Linked DNA regions of Drosophila melanogaster. The protein of the gene in region 2 purifies or fractionates together with the protein of the main gene of each other region. This does not show direct contact. Each region holds a gene or a part of one and is shown on either strand. Other genes may lie near its edges. The genes, in order: stv and Hsp67Bc.

Region 1 (8,128 bases), 4.1 Mb from region 2:
CGCTCCATTCCCGATCCAGGGTTCTTTTGTATATGTATTATTGATCGAGATTTATAACCTTTTCGATAATAAACTTTGATAATTGTGCAACCGAAGGATAACACAGTTTTATGGTCAACAATATCTACATTTATTTTCGCATTAATTAGTAGCATAAATAGTTATCATAGTTTTTTTTTTTTTTCTATAAGAGTTTACGTTCGTTTAACAATTCACCTGCAGCAAAGCCGTGAGTGGTGCACTCGGCGTGATTGGATGGATGAGTTGGCCTGTGGCAAGCAAGCGCGTCTGCTGTAGATTTGTATGAGATCATACGGCGGCTTGCTGCCCCTGTTGCTGCTCATCGGTACAATTTACGTATAAAAACTGGACTCAGGTTCAAAAATATCCTCATGGTGATCATCTATCGCTTAAACATAATCAGCTCTTTTAAGTGAAGCAACCCTTGTTGCCAAATCGTTTTCGCTCTGTTAACTTCCGAATTCTATGCAGGCACATTTTCTCAATATTAATTCTCTTACTAGCCTATAATCTACGCTGTGTGGTGTGTGTGTGTGTGTGTGTGTGTTATGATGTGTGGGGATGAGTGGGTGTTGAGTGGTTGACACGTGAGATTTGCATATGTTTAGATAGTACGGTTGTGCTTCTACGAAATACTAGCAAAGATTCGTCGCCAGCTCCTCCTATTCACATTCACATTACACATCAAATTCACTTTCACATTTACTTTGAATTCAGTAAAATCAAGTCTGTCGCTGTCCGTTGATGAGTCGGGATCGGAACTCTTCTCTATCCTCCGCCTGTTGTCACTTAAATTTGGTTAATTTGCGTAGCTGCTTCGAAACGGTCGCCTTGTAGAGGCGCTGTGTTCATCATTCCGACGTCGTTGTGGTTGTCTCCGACTGAACGGCGGACTGTGTCGCCTCCGCGGCGGTGGCTTCCGAAGCAGCTGCGCCCTCGACGGCAGCAGCATTTGGTGGTGCTGGTAGAGGGATGGGTTCCTGCATCTTTGTAGCATCCTGTGGCTGTGGAGTCACTGGCTCCGCATTTTGTCCGGCCGCTTCCGAGGCAGCAACTGCACCTGTGTCAACCGCTGGAGCTGTTGCGCTAGGTGCAGGTGCTGCTCCTGATGCCGCTCTGGCATTCTCCTCGGCCTTGGCCTCCAGCACATTTATCGAAGCCTGAATGCATCTGCAAGGAACAATCATTGAATTAATTAAATTCGATAATGAGCTCTGGTGACTCTGGTCACTTACTTGATAGCCTCCTTTCGGGCCAGACGAATGCTGTCCTTGCCGTTTGTGTCGATGGTGTCTAGCTTAAGCAGGTTGCGGGTCAGCATCTCGTCCAGGTAGGCGTACTCCTTCTCCTCGCGCGTTCCCTTGAACTGCTCCACCTTGCCCATGAGCTCCAGTACGTCGCGCTGAATGTCCTGGATTTTGTTAATAGAGTTGAGGGTATGTGGTGTCTGTGGCGGCAATCCAGCGGCTCCCTCAACTGGCACCTGCTGCTCAGGTTGCGCCTGGGTGTTTAGTGGCGTCGGTCTGTTGTGCTGCTGTGGAGCAGCGTGTGCCTGTGGCTGCGCCTGCGCATATGCCTGTGCCTGAGCTTGGGCCTGAGCACTGGGCGGAGCGTTCTGGTTCGGTATCTCCTTGTGGGCATTGATGATGGGCTCGGAGCGACCCTCAACAAAGATGGGAATGGTGCGCACATAGGTGCCACCCGGGGTCTGTGGAGCTGGCGGCGGGGTCTGCTGCTTTTGCTGGGGATGCGTCTGCTGGTGCGGCGCATAGTAGGTCTTGAACTGCTGACCCTGAACGGGCGGACTTGTCTGGGTGCCAAACGGTTGGCTATGTACTCCCGGTTGCTGATGCTGTTGCTGCTGCTGGTGATACTGCAGATTCTGCTGCTGCTGCTCTGGCGGAGGGGCGGAGTGGGATCGCAGTCCCTGATCCTGCTCGGCGACACTCTTCACGCCCATGTCGACAGTGTTTCGCAGTCCGTGCTGGTTCAAGTTAGTCGGCGGGGCACAATCAACCTCCGAGCGACCGGCAGGATCCTCCGTCTGGATGGCAGCATCGCAAAGGCGCTTTGAAGGCGTCTGCGGCACCTGCTGCTGGGTTGGTCCGGCATAGACTGGCTGTTGCTGGGGCGGCACACCGAACTGGAAGTGCGTCTGGGGTTGCTGTTGGGTGTACTGCGGCTGTGGCTGCGGCTGTTGCTGCTGTGGAACTTGTCCGGGTGCAGGAGCAGCTCCGGTACCACGTCTGCCTCCGAAACCATCTGGGATATACTGGCGGAACTCCGAGGGCAGCCGATTAAAGAAGTCATCATCGTGGTCCATGTGAGTGTTGGCCCCACCGGCCATTCGACCTCGGCGGCCCATCGTTGAGAAGCGGGGGAAACCAAAGTCTGGATCGTCGAAATAGGATGGAAAGTCATCATCAGCATGGACTTGACCACTGGGACCGTGCAAACTGCTCCGCTTACGTGAGTCGCCGAAGCCGGCGAAGGGATCGTGCATCCTGCCCAGGTGCGAGCGCGGGAACATGTTGTCCATGTCCATGTTCGGTTCGAATCCAAAGGTCGGCTGCTATCAACAGAGAGTAATTATAAATAATTAAATTATAATGAATTCGGAATGATTCTAGCTAAGAAGCTCTAATATGCAGGTATTCTTTTGGTAGCAACCACATTCTAATAGTTATTACTTTTATAATTTAAATCATGTTTATTAAGTTGCAAATATTGGTTTGAAAGTAAAAGTGCTTTTATCCGGTTAAAAATCGTATTTTAAATAAAATAATCGCTGTTTCACATCAACTATGTATTTGTTCTGTGTAGCAATAGAGGAGTGCAAATTGTTCGACTCGGTGGGCGAATTGTTTATAAATAACAGGGTGAGTCAGAACCATATAGATTGGGTACGAGTGTGGGCAAACAAGTGATGTCAATTGGCACTGAATGAACAGCTGTTGGGGAGCGGATGGATCTCGATGTCGATGTCGATGTCGGAACCTTACCTTTTGCCTGCTCAATTTGTTAACTTTATCAATGAGCTGTGCTCACTGCTCGTCAATTATTTCGCTACAAGTGTATTTACGAGTATTTAGCTATAGCCTGAATGTCTTTTTAGCTTTTGAATGCTTTTCCGCTTGGTGACGTGATGCACTGCGTCCGATTGTTTACGTGCGAATGAGGCGACTCGTCGGCCGAGAAGGCCTTTTAAAGCGAATGGCGCCCACTCTCGAATCCGCTGGCTGATTCTGGCCACTTCTCGTAGTTTCTGAGACAGTCGAGTGTTCTCGGTTCGGCTCGACGACCGATTTTGAGTCTCTCCTAAAAGGACGCTCTCTCTGCTGTTCAACTCAATTACCCGAAGTGACTTGTGGAAGTACAGTGAAATAAAAGATTCGGCTTTACTGTATCACATTTTCTGAATTGAACGGTAGGGACAAGATAAGTGTGTTTACTTCAACAATTAGTATTGTTTTACAATACCCTTCAATTATTAATGATAATTTACTGGCTTTCTTACATAAGCGCACTTGAAGAAATTGTCGTATATACGAGTATGTATACAAATTTGTATTTTTTTAAGGTTTTATAAGGCTTTTTTTAAATGGGAAACCTTTTGTAAAACAGATATATGTTTAAAAACGCCTTTCTGCGGTTACAAGAAGTTCTTAAACTTCTCGCTATCATGGCACCTTTATCTGTTTAAAGTCCAAAGTTCACCTTAGCACGTACCCACTGTACGTTAAGTTGGTGATGACGTTTTTATATAGTCAACGTCACCAACGCATTGCCGAGGCCCCCGCGTTGGCCAAGTTGATGTTGAGCAACCAAAATCCACCCACGCTTCCCATTAGACAACTGGCATGCTTCCACCGATATGCGCACATATGGAGTGCCATTGTGTGTTTACTGTACGGTGTGCCCACCTACAGTGGAAGACACAGACACGCACAGCAGACTTTGTTAAAGAATCAAGAGCGGGCCAATAGTATAGAGCGTTATTTCGATTCGACCAATTCTCAGCGCCCAAATAGAAAGAACGAGAGCATTAGCAGCAGAGCAACGCGTCATTAGCTTGTGTGTTTTCTTCTAGAAATTTTCAAATATTTTCTACGATTTGGTCGTGATAGATTTGGATTGCTGGCCATTAGATTAGGCCGCAAAGAAACAGCTGTACATTACTTGTCTCTGGTAAAATTCCGCACGCGTTGCGGCATTAATCATACGCAGCGTTGGCCACTAGACGAGCGCTTGACACGACATCAGCCCAGAAACTTGGCCATCCCCCCAGCAGATACTGCAAGCTTATGCCCAGTAGGTCAACAGAGTGTGCACACACACTTGACACACACTTGCAGGGGGTTGGATTTTCCCTCGCAACCCACTTTGTGGAGGGGTGAGTAGAAGAGGCTTTTACGCAACCACACTGACTTTTTCATTGTTCCGCACTCTTATTGCGATTTAGAGAGTTTACATAGCGCTAAAAGGCAATGCGAAATTGCCAAGGATTCAGTCCGAAAAGCGAAACAAATGGAAAAACCGCTGTGTCATAGCACAGTAAAATAAATAAAACTTAATCGCCTACCCAAGAATATTTCGCAAACAAAGAGTTAAGCTCGTCGGTCATTAATAGTAATTTGGAAAATGCCCAAGGTATTTAGAAAAATCTGGCCATCCTATAAGTATCTGTGAAGTACATTTTGTTGAATTAAAACAAAAGTAGTAGTAGATGCAGACTAACTAAAGACAAGACTATCATATTTAAATCACTCTTCATTTCGATTTAGTTATCACAGTCAGCTCCTATTCTATTTCTGAGTAGAAGTTGAACATAGATCATGCTACAATACCCACTGTAATTATTCCAAACCAACTGTTTCCGCGTCTAGAATCCCCACTGTACTTAAATTGCCACACGGCTAGCGAACAACAAAAACCATGACACTCATACGAATATGTCCCAGCTATGCGATCGAGGCTTTTTGGGGGCGGGGGAGATCTGGAGGGTGGGGGTTCGACCTTGCCAGGCGCCAACCTTGGGATCTCTCGCCGCTGCCGCTCGTCTGCCACCCTCTCCGCCTGCCCCCCTCCCCCCCTCGACAGACAAGCGCTGGGGGCCACTCACCTGAAAATGTTGCTGCTGCTGATTTGGAGGAACCTGCTGGTGCTGCTGGAAGTGCTGCTGCTGCTGCCTGGGCGATCCGTAAGCGTTTTGGGGAGTGTGGAACTGTGCCGACTGCTGTGGCGATCCGTAGCCGCCACTCACGTACTCCCGGTTTACGGGTATATTGACACCGGGACCGCCGGGTGAGACATTATTACCGGCGGCGGTGGCGGGATTGCTTTGCGCCTGATTGGCCGCCATCACAGTGGGCTTCATGGATGATTCGCTGGCCAGGAAAAGACCGTAACCGTAATCGCAATCGTATCCGTATCCGTACCGCTCGTACCGCTGGCCTAAACGCTATCGAATCCGTCGACGTTTCGCTGCGTAGCGACAATTTTTAATTTATTTCCTTTTGTTGATACTTGGCTGTGACTTTTCGTCGGCGACTACTTGTCGTGCCAGTTGTTGAGATTAATTTTTGGACGCGGGCTGGTGTGCACGAGGATGGCGGGGGCTTTTAATGGAGGGGTGCGGGCGCGGGCTCACCTTGAGCGACGACGCGTGCGAATACCGCTCGATTTCGATTGGGGCTTCTCGTATGTTCCTGATGCTTTAGCTCCTGCTGCTGCTGTTGGTGCTGCTGCTGCTGCTGTTGCTGCTGCTTTTTTGCTAAACGACCGGAGTGTGATGTCACTTTTGGCCACACTTTCTAGCTGCCGCACACCGATACGGCCACTTTTTTACTTCCACTTTTTTCAGCTTTTTAAGTATTTCCGCTCGCGCTCTCTGGCCCTGCGCTAGTGTTTGTGCGAGTGTGGGTTTTCGGATTTCTATATTCAATTTAAAATATATATAGATTTTTTATTTTTGCACATTGCCACTCGGTTGTTTGTTGTTGTTTTTACGGGGCCACGCATCCACACGGGCGTCCTCACGCTGCCAAAGTTGCTCGTCGACTGAGCGCCATCGCCATTTGCTTCTAACCATTACCGTATAATTTGCCTTTGCCAACAGCCCCACTGTGGCGCTCTCTCTCCCTCTCTCTCGCCCGCTCGATTCTCATCCGCTCTCCGTTCGGCCTCCCTCTATCTTTCTCTCGCGGTAAGCTTTGCTTGGCTTCTACCTGGCTTTTCTCCGGCGGTTTCAGACCTTAATTGGTAAATGTTTAATACTATCTTACGGATACGGATACCGTTCTCTCGATCCGCTCTCCCCAGCTCGCTCTCCCCACTCTCTCTCTCTCCGTGCACCGATCAGACATCAGACTTATAAATAGAAAGTTGGCCAAGAGAGCGGCTCTCTAAAACGCATTCCTCGGCAGTCGCATGGCTTCTAAAATTCAAATCTGTAACCGTAAGCCACACTGCGGGAAATTTGGCACGATAAATGACTCTAGTTGGTAGTAACTATCGAATATGACCATTTCGCGATATAAAAAACGGTTTATAAATTCTTGAATAAAATTGGGAAAAATATAAATATCAAACTCCTACGCAGAAACTAACTGTTGTGCTCATCAGTTATAATATCAGTTATAATATGCTTAATTTAGACAATCAAAATCTGTATTTCTCTTACCATTACCGTCGGGTCCATTATGCCATTTTTAACCAAAAGTATTCAATTAATCTTCTTTTATCTCAGTGCCTTCGGGCCGCCTACATACAACCACTGCGTCACAACCGCCAAAGAGCAGCAACGAGTAAGGCAAACACGAAGGCAAAAAGAAGGCAAAATCAGCAGCGTAAACAGTTGTCATCGCCCACTGACGGAGTCTTGTTGAGCGGCCAATCAATCGATCAATGACTAACGATCTGTTGCCACAGCTCCCCCGCACTTGATACCTTTTCAGTTTTCGCCATAAACAAATGTACAATGTGCAGTAGCGACAGAATGTCTTCGCAAGTCGACTGTTATTGCAAAACGATCAGCTGATAACCGCCAGTTGTTTGGACCAAATGTTTACTCCACCTAAGCAACCAGCGCCATAAGCATTTTCTTTTGAATCACGAAGTGACCCACGCGTACAGCTCTGGTCAACATAATAGGGTTGGATAAAATGGGTTTTCCGAGACCATCACAAAATTATAAAAACTTAAAAATCAATTTTAATTCAATTTAATTTGAGAACAAAGTTGGTCAGAATATAGGTCAAATAACTTAAATAACTTATTGAATCATCGGTTGCTTGAAGCTTTAGCCAAGAATATTTTTTTTATTAAAGTATCGTTAAAAATATATTTTTGCTGGGGCACGATTGGTATAATTACAATTATTCTGTATCATTTCCGTATCCATTTCGCTGATAGGATTTCTTTAAACGTTTCTCAATTGTTTCATTATTAGTATATTAACCTCAATTGTAGATCTGTGAGAATATGCATGCTCGTCTGTATGAATGTATATAATCAGACGGCCGGCGGCGGCACGCCCACCTATCTTTATCCATTAGATTTATTTTCCAAATACTTTCTCGTTGTTTGGGCGAACCACTGCGTCGCCAGGGCATATAAAATGGAAATAATTCATAATTAAATATTGCACATCTCTGTATAGATATAGAAGTGAATTGTATACGTTTATATCTGATTATATATATACATGCGATTTTTGTTTTTATAATTTGCCATGTAGATACACGAGCGAAATGCAATGCCAGGCATTTATGCATTTCAGACGTTTTTCTCGGAACTCGTATTTCAAATGTAAATATATCTTTTTTCTGAAACGGGTCAAGATAAATAAATCAGTCTCGTGAAGTTATTGTATCAATTTACCAATAAAGCATCAAATTTTTAAGATTGCAGCTTATGGGTAAATAGAGTATCTCACACATAATTCTTTTGAATTTTGATCTGCTCCTTTTATGGCCTGATAAATGAAACGTAAGCCGTCAAAACAAATCGCATTGAATGAGTCAATCAAAAGCAATTGTATATATAGCTAAATGTGCTGAAATCGAAGAACCCCCGATTCTCATAACAAAGTGAAACAAATATGAGT
Region 2 (3,724 bases):
CCGCGCTGTAAAATCAACCGAATTTCATAATATCAGTGGGGGTTTTCGGCATAATATAGTGATGATTCTGTAGGTTTAAAGGCTCCACTTACGTATTGTGGTGTGCAGAGCATTGTGGGGTGTGTAGAACGCGGGCTTGGCAATCTGTTTACTGATTAATTTGCAGGAATTATGAACTGCAGAGCGGCGCAAAAGTAAACAAAACATTTTTTTGAGGTTACAGTGCCAGCTGGAGATGGGCAACATGCAATATGTCACGGGTTTTTATTATTCAGATTATAATCCCAAACAAAATAAATTAGTTTATAATGTACTCCATCTGCTAAATAACTTTAAAAATAATATATATACTTTGTGTAATTAAATGTTAGTTTCTTTTATTAAATTTATCGTTGACTTACCACTTGTTAAAAACTGTTACTTCGATAGATAGTTTTGGAAAGATGACTAAAAGCTATCGATAATTACACTTATGGCGGGCTTTCATTTCAAAGTTCAAAAGTTCACTCAATCGCACCTGGGAAAAGGCTAACCAAAGCTTTTTTAAGTAGGATTGACATCCGGGGACCTATTTTTAATATGCACAGCTTTTAATACCTGTCTAATCGAACAAAGGAAAGTTAATATTGTACCCAAAATTGGATTTCGTGCTTTTTGATATGAATTAAGCTCTTAAATATTAGTAAAAGTCTTTTGATTACTGAGACATTCATATTCCTTTATTAATACTGGATTTCGATTAGTCTTAAAATTTGATTGGACTGTTTAAAATGTAGCTAATAATAAATTAATAAATATAATACGATTTGTGCGATATTTTCTTGACTTTTTTTTTGGTGCAACGATAAACGAGAGTCTTGGGAAATCACTTGGCTGCTTAGGCTGCAATCTTTAGGAGGGGGCTCTTCACTTGGCTTCTGGCTCTGAAGCAGAAGCTGCCGGACCGGCCTCCTTATGACCGTTTCCATTCTGGAAGAGATCCGATGGACCCACATGCTTAATGGGTATGATGCGCTCCTTGAGCTCCTCCTTGGAAACTAATGGTGGAACCGTGATATTGAGAACTCCATCCTCCGACAAAGTGGAAACAATGGCATCCGAATCGAACTCCTTGGGCAGCGGATAGCGGCGAACAAAATGCCGGGATACATGTCCATGATCGTCCTCGCGCTCCTCGTGTTTTCCCTCGACCACAATGCACTCGTTGACCAGTTTGACGGTCAGTTCACCTGGCTGAAAGAGTCCCACATCCAGATGGACCTCGAAATTGCCCTGCTTATTTGAGGCTCCACCGCGGCTCAATGCAGCCAGCTCTCCGTTCCTTTTATTGGCCACCAGGTGATGGGCATGTGCACCCATCCGGGCAATCAGACCCAGGGTGTGCAAATCAAGATCATGATGCTGCCGCGAATGCAATCGCCTGTACATGCGATTCGGGAACATATCGTGGCCGTAGTACATGGAGTCCGGGGAGTCCAAATTCAAGACAAAGGGAATATCTGGCATTTTACTTTTCTTTGCTTAACTTCTTTGTGTATCTGGCGGAAGGAGGTTCGTTGAACCGACGACCTGTTTTCCTTTCAAAAAGTATCCAAGGGGTTGATTTGCCAGCGGGTGGTGGAATCCACAATCTCAGCTGCAGTTTGGCGCACAATTCACCTTGACTTTTCCGACTCGAATGTGGAGTTTAACGGTTTGTCTGCGCCCTTTTATAGAGACGGAAGAGCTTTGCCCATTGCCACAGAGCTTTTCTGGAGCAGCAACTCGTTGTTTCGTTGATTCTAGGGAGACAACTGGGAACCTTCTGGGGGCCAAGCTTTCGTAGACTGTAAACTGTTATATGTGATCCGCCATAAGGTATGTATGTATGTATAAAATGAGTGCAGATAGCAAGCTCTGTATTGGAGATCATACCATAAGATTTTAATTTCAAATTCAAAGTGAAATCGGATACAGATGAGAGGCGCAATCTCCAGTGTCAGCTGGACAAACAAGACGACACCACGATAATCAAAATGCGATAAGCAAGTACGCACATACATATGTACATACCCGAATCTTTAATCTTGAACCTCATAAATGGATCATCTGCGCCCAGCTGGCAAGTCAGTTGTTATTCAGCTGGCGAACCGGTTGAAATTCGTGCTCCGCCCCATAACTACAATGGCCACGTACGAACAGGTTAAGGATGTGCCCAACCATCCGGATGTGTATCTTATCGACGTTCGACGGAAGGAAGAGCTCCAGCAGACGGGCTTCATTCCAGCCAGCATCAATATACCCTGTAATAAACTACTTTCCCTAGTATTTGCTTTATTACTATGTGTTTTATTACTATTTATTTACTTAGTGGATGAACTGGACAAGGCTCTAAATCTGGATGGATCTGCTTTTAAAAACAAGTACGGAAGATCGAAGCCGGAGAAGCAGTCGCCAATCATATTCACCTGCCGGTCGGGAAATCGAGTCTTGGAAGCAGAGAAAATTGCCAAAAGTCAGGGATACAGCAAGTGAGTTTTAAAATTGTATTATAGTTGCAATAGTTTATATCGGATACATATATGTATGCTCATTTTAGTGTGGTGATCTACAAAGGCTCCTGGAATGAATGGGCTCAAAAGGAGGGACTTTGACGATAAACGTCGCTATATTTCTGAATAAATGAAGATTAATATTAATTAATTAATTAATTATTAATAGCTAAAAAAAACAGAAAACTTTAATTATTTGTTAATATTAAGCTGTATTTTTCATATATCTCAAGTTCTTGACTACACCCATGGCAAGCTTATCAATACACACACGTATACACTCGCACTCAGAAAGCTGTGCACTCCCACAAAACTTTCTCTCTCCCACTCTCTAATGGAGCTCTCTCAATCTGTCTCTCTGCGTATGGAAACTGACCTTCCCCAAGGCGCAACAGCGAGAGAGAACTTCGCTAAATGCTAAAATAAAAGGTAAATAAAGTAATATTTGGACACCCAGAGAGCCCCAGAAACTTCCACGGAGTTCGCTAAAGAACAGTGAACAACCCCTAACTAAATGCCATTGCCCGATTTCAGGCAAAGTGGAAAATTGCATCAGCAAAGGGCGAAGAAAATTCGAGAGAGTGCCGGTATTTTCTAGATTATATGGATTTCCTCTCTGCCAAGAGTATAAATAGCCACCGGTTGGACACTGCGCTCTCAGTTCAAAAAAACCAAACCAACTGCTAACAACTCGAAGAAAGTCAACTAAATTAAAATTTCGCCAGCTAAATAGAAATTTCATAGGATTGAAACTTCAGACAACAAGATTATCTTCGAAACATAGAGGAAAAATTTAAAAAAAAGCCAAGAAGTATTTCAAAGACAACAATTGGACGGAATTTCATCAAATTATTCGAATTTGCATAAGAAGCTTTTGTTGGAAAAACCAAGTTACCTTATTAACTACAATGCGTTCCTTACCGATGTTTTGGCGCATGGCCGAGGAGATGGCACGGATGCCACGCCTCTCCTCGCCCTTTCACGCCTTCTTCCACGAGCCGCCCGTTTGGAGTGTGGCGCTACCGAGGAACTGGCAGCAGATTGCCCGCTGGCAGGAGCAGGAGTTCGCTCCGCCGGCCACCGTCAACAAGGATGGCTACAAACTCACCCTGGACGTCAAGGACTACAGCGAGCTAAAGGTCAAGGTGCTGGACGAGAGCGTTGTCCTGGTGGAGGGAAAATCAGAGCAGCAG

Evidence for each region.
Region 1: the proteins of Hsp67Bc (region 2) and stv purify together in Drosophila melanogaster (affinity purification with western blotting; one study listed by BioGRID). This does not show direct contact.

What each region holds. Positions count from the first base shown.
Region 1 is NT_037436.4:13,475,498-13,483,625, reverse strand, and holds stv (starvin), read right to left. Parts: upstream 6,086-8,128; 5' UTR 5,399-6,085; coding exon 5,144-5,398; intron 3,183-5,143; exon of another isoform or gene 3,024-3,182; intron 2,863-3,023; exon of another isoform or gene 2,712-2,862; intron 2,594-2,711; coding exon of another isoform or gene 2,591-2,593; coding exon 1,257-2,590; intron 1,192-1,256; coding exon 873-1,191; 3' UTR 111-872; downstream 1-110.
Region 2 is NT_037436.4:9,370,812-9,374,535, forward strand, and holds Hsp67Bc (heat shock gene 67Bc), read right to left. Parts: upstream 1,687-3,724; 5' UTR 1,507-1,686; coding exon 907-1,506; 3' UTR 700-906; downstream 1-699. Other genes in the region: Fdx1 (ferredoxin 1), read right to left, coding at 1-5, 93-207; CG4456 (uncharacterized protein), read left to right, coding at 2,164-2,284, 2,351-2,510, 2,579-2,633; Hsp22 (heat shock protein 22), read left to right, coding at 3,440-3,724.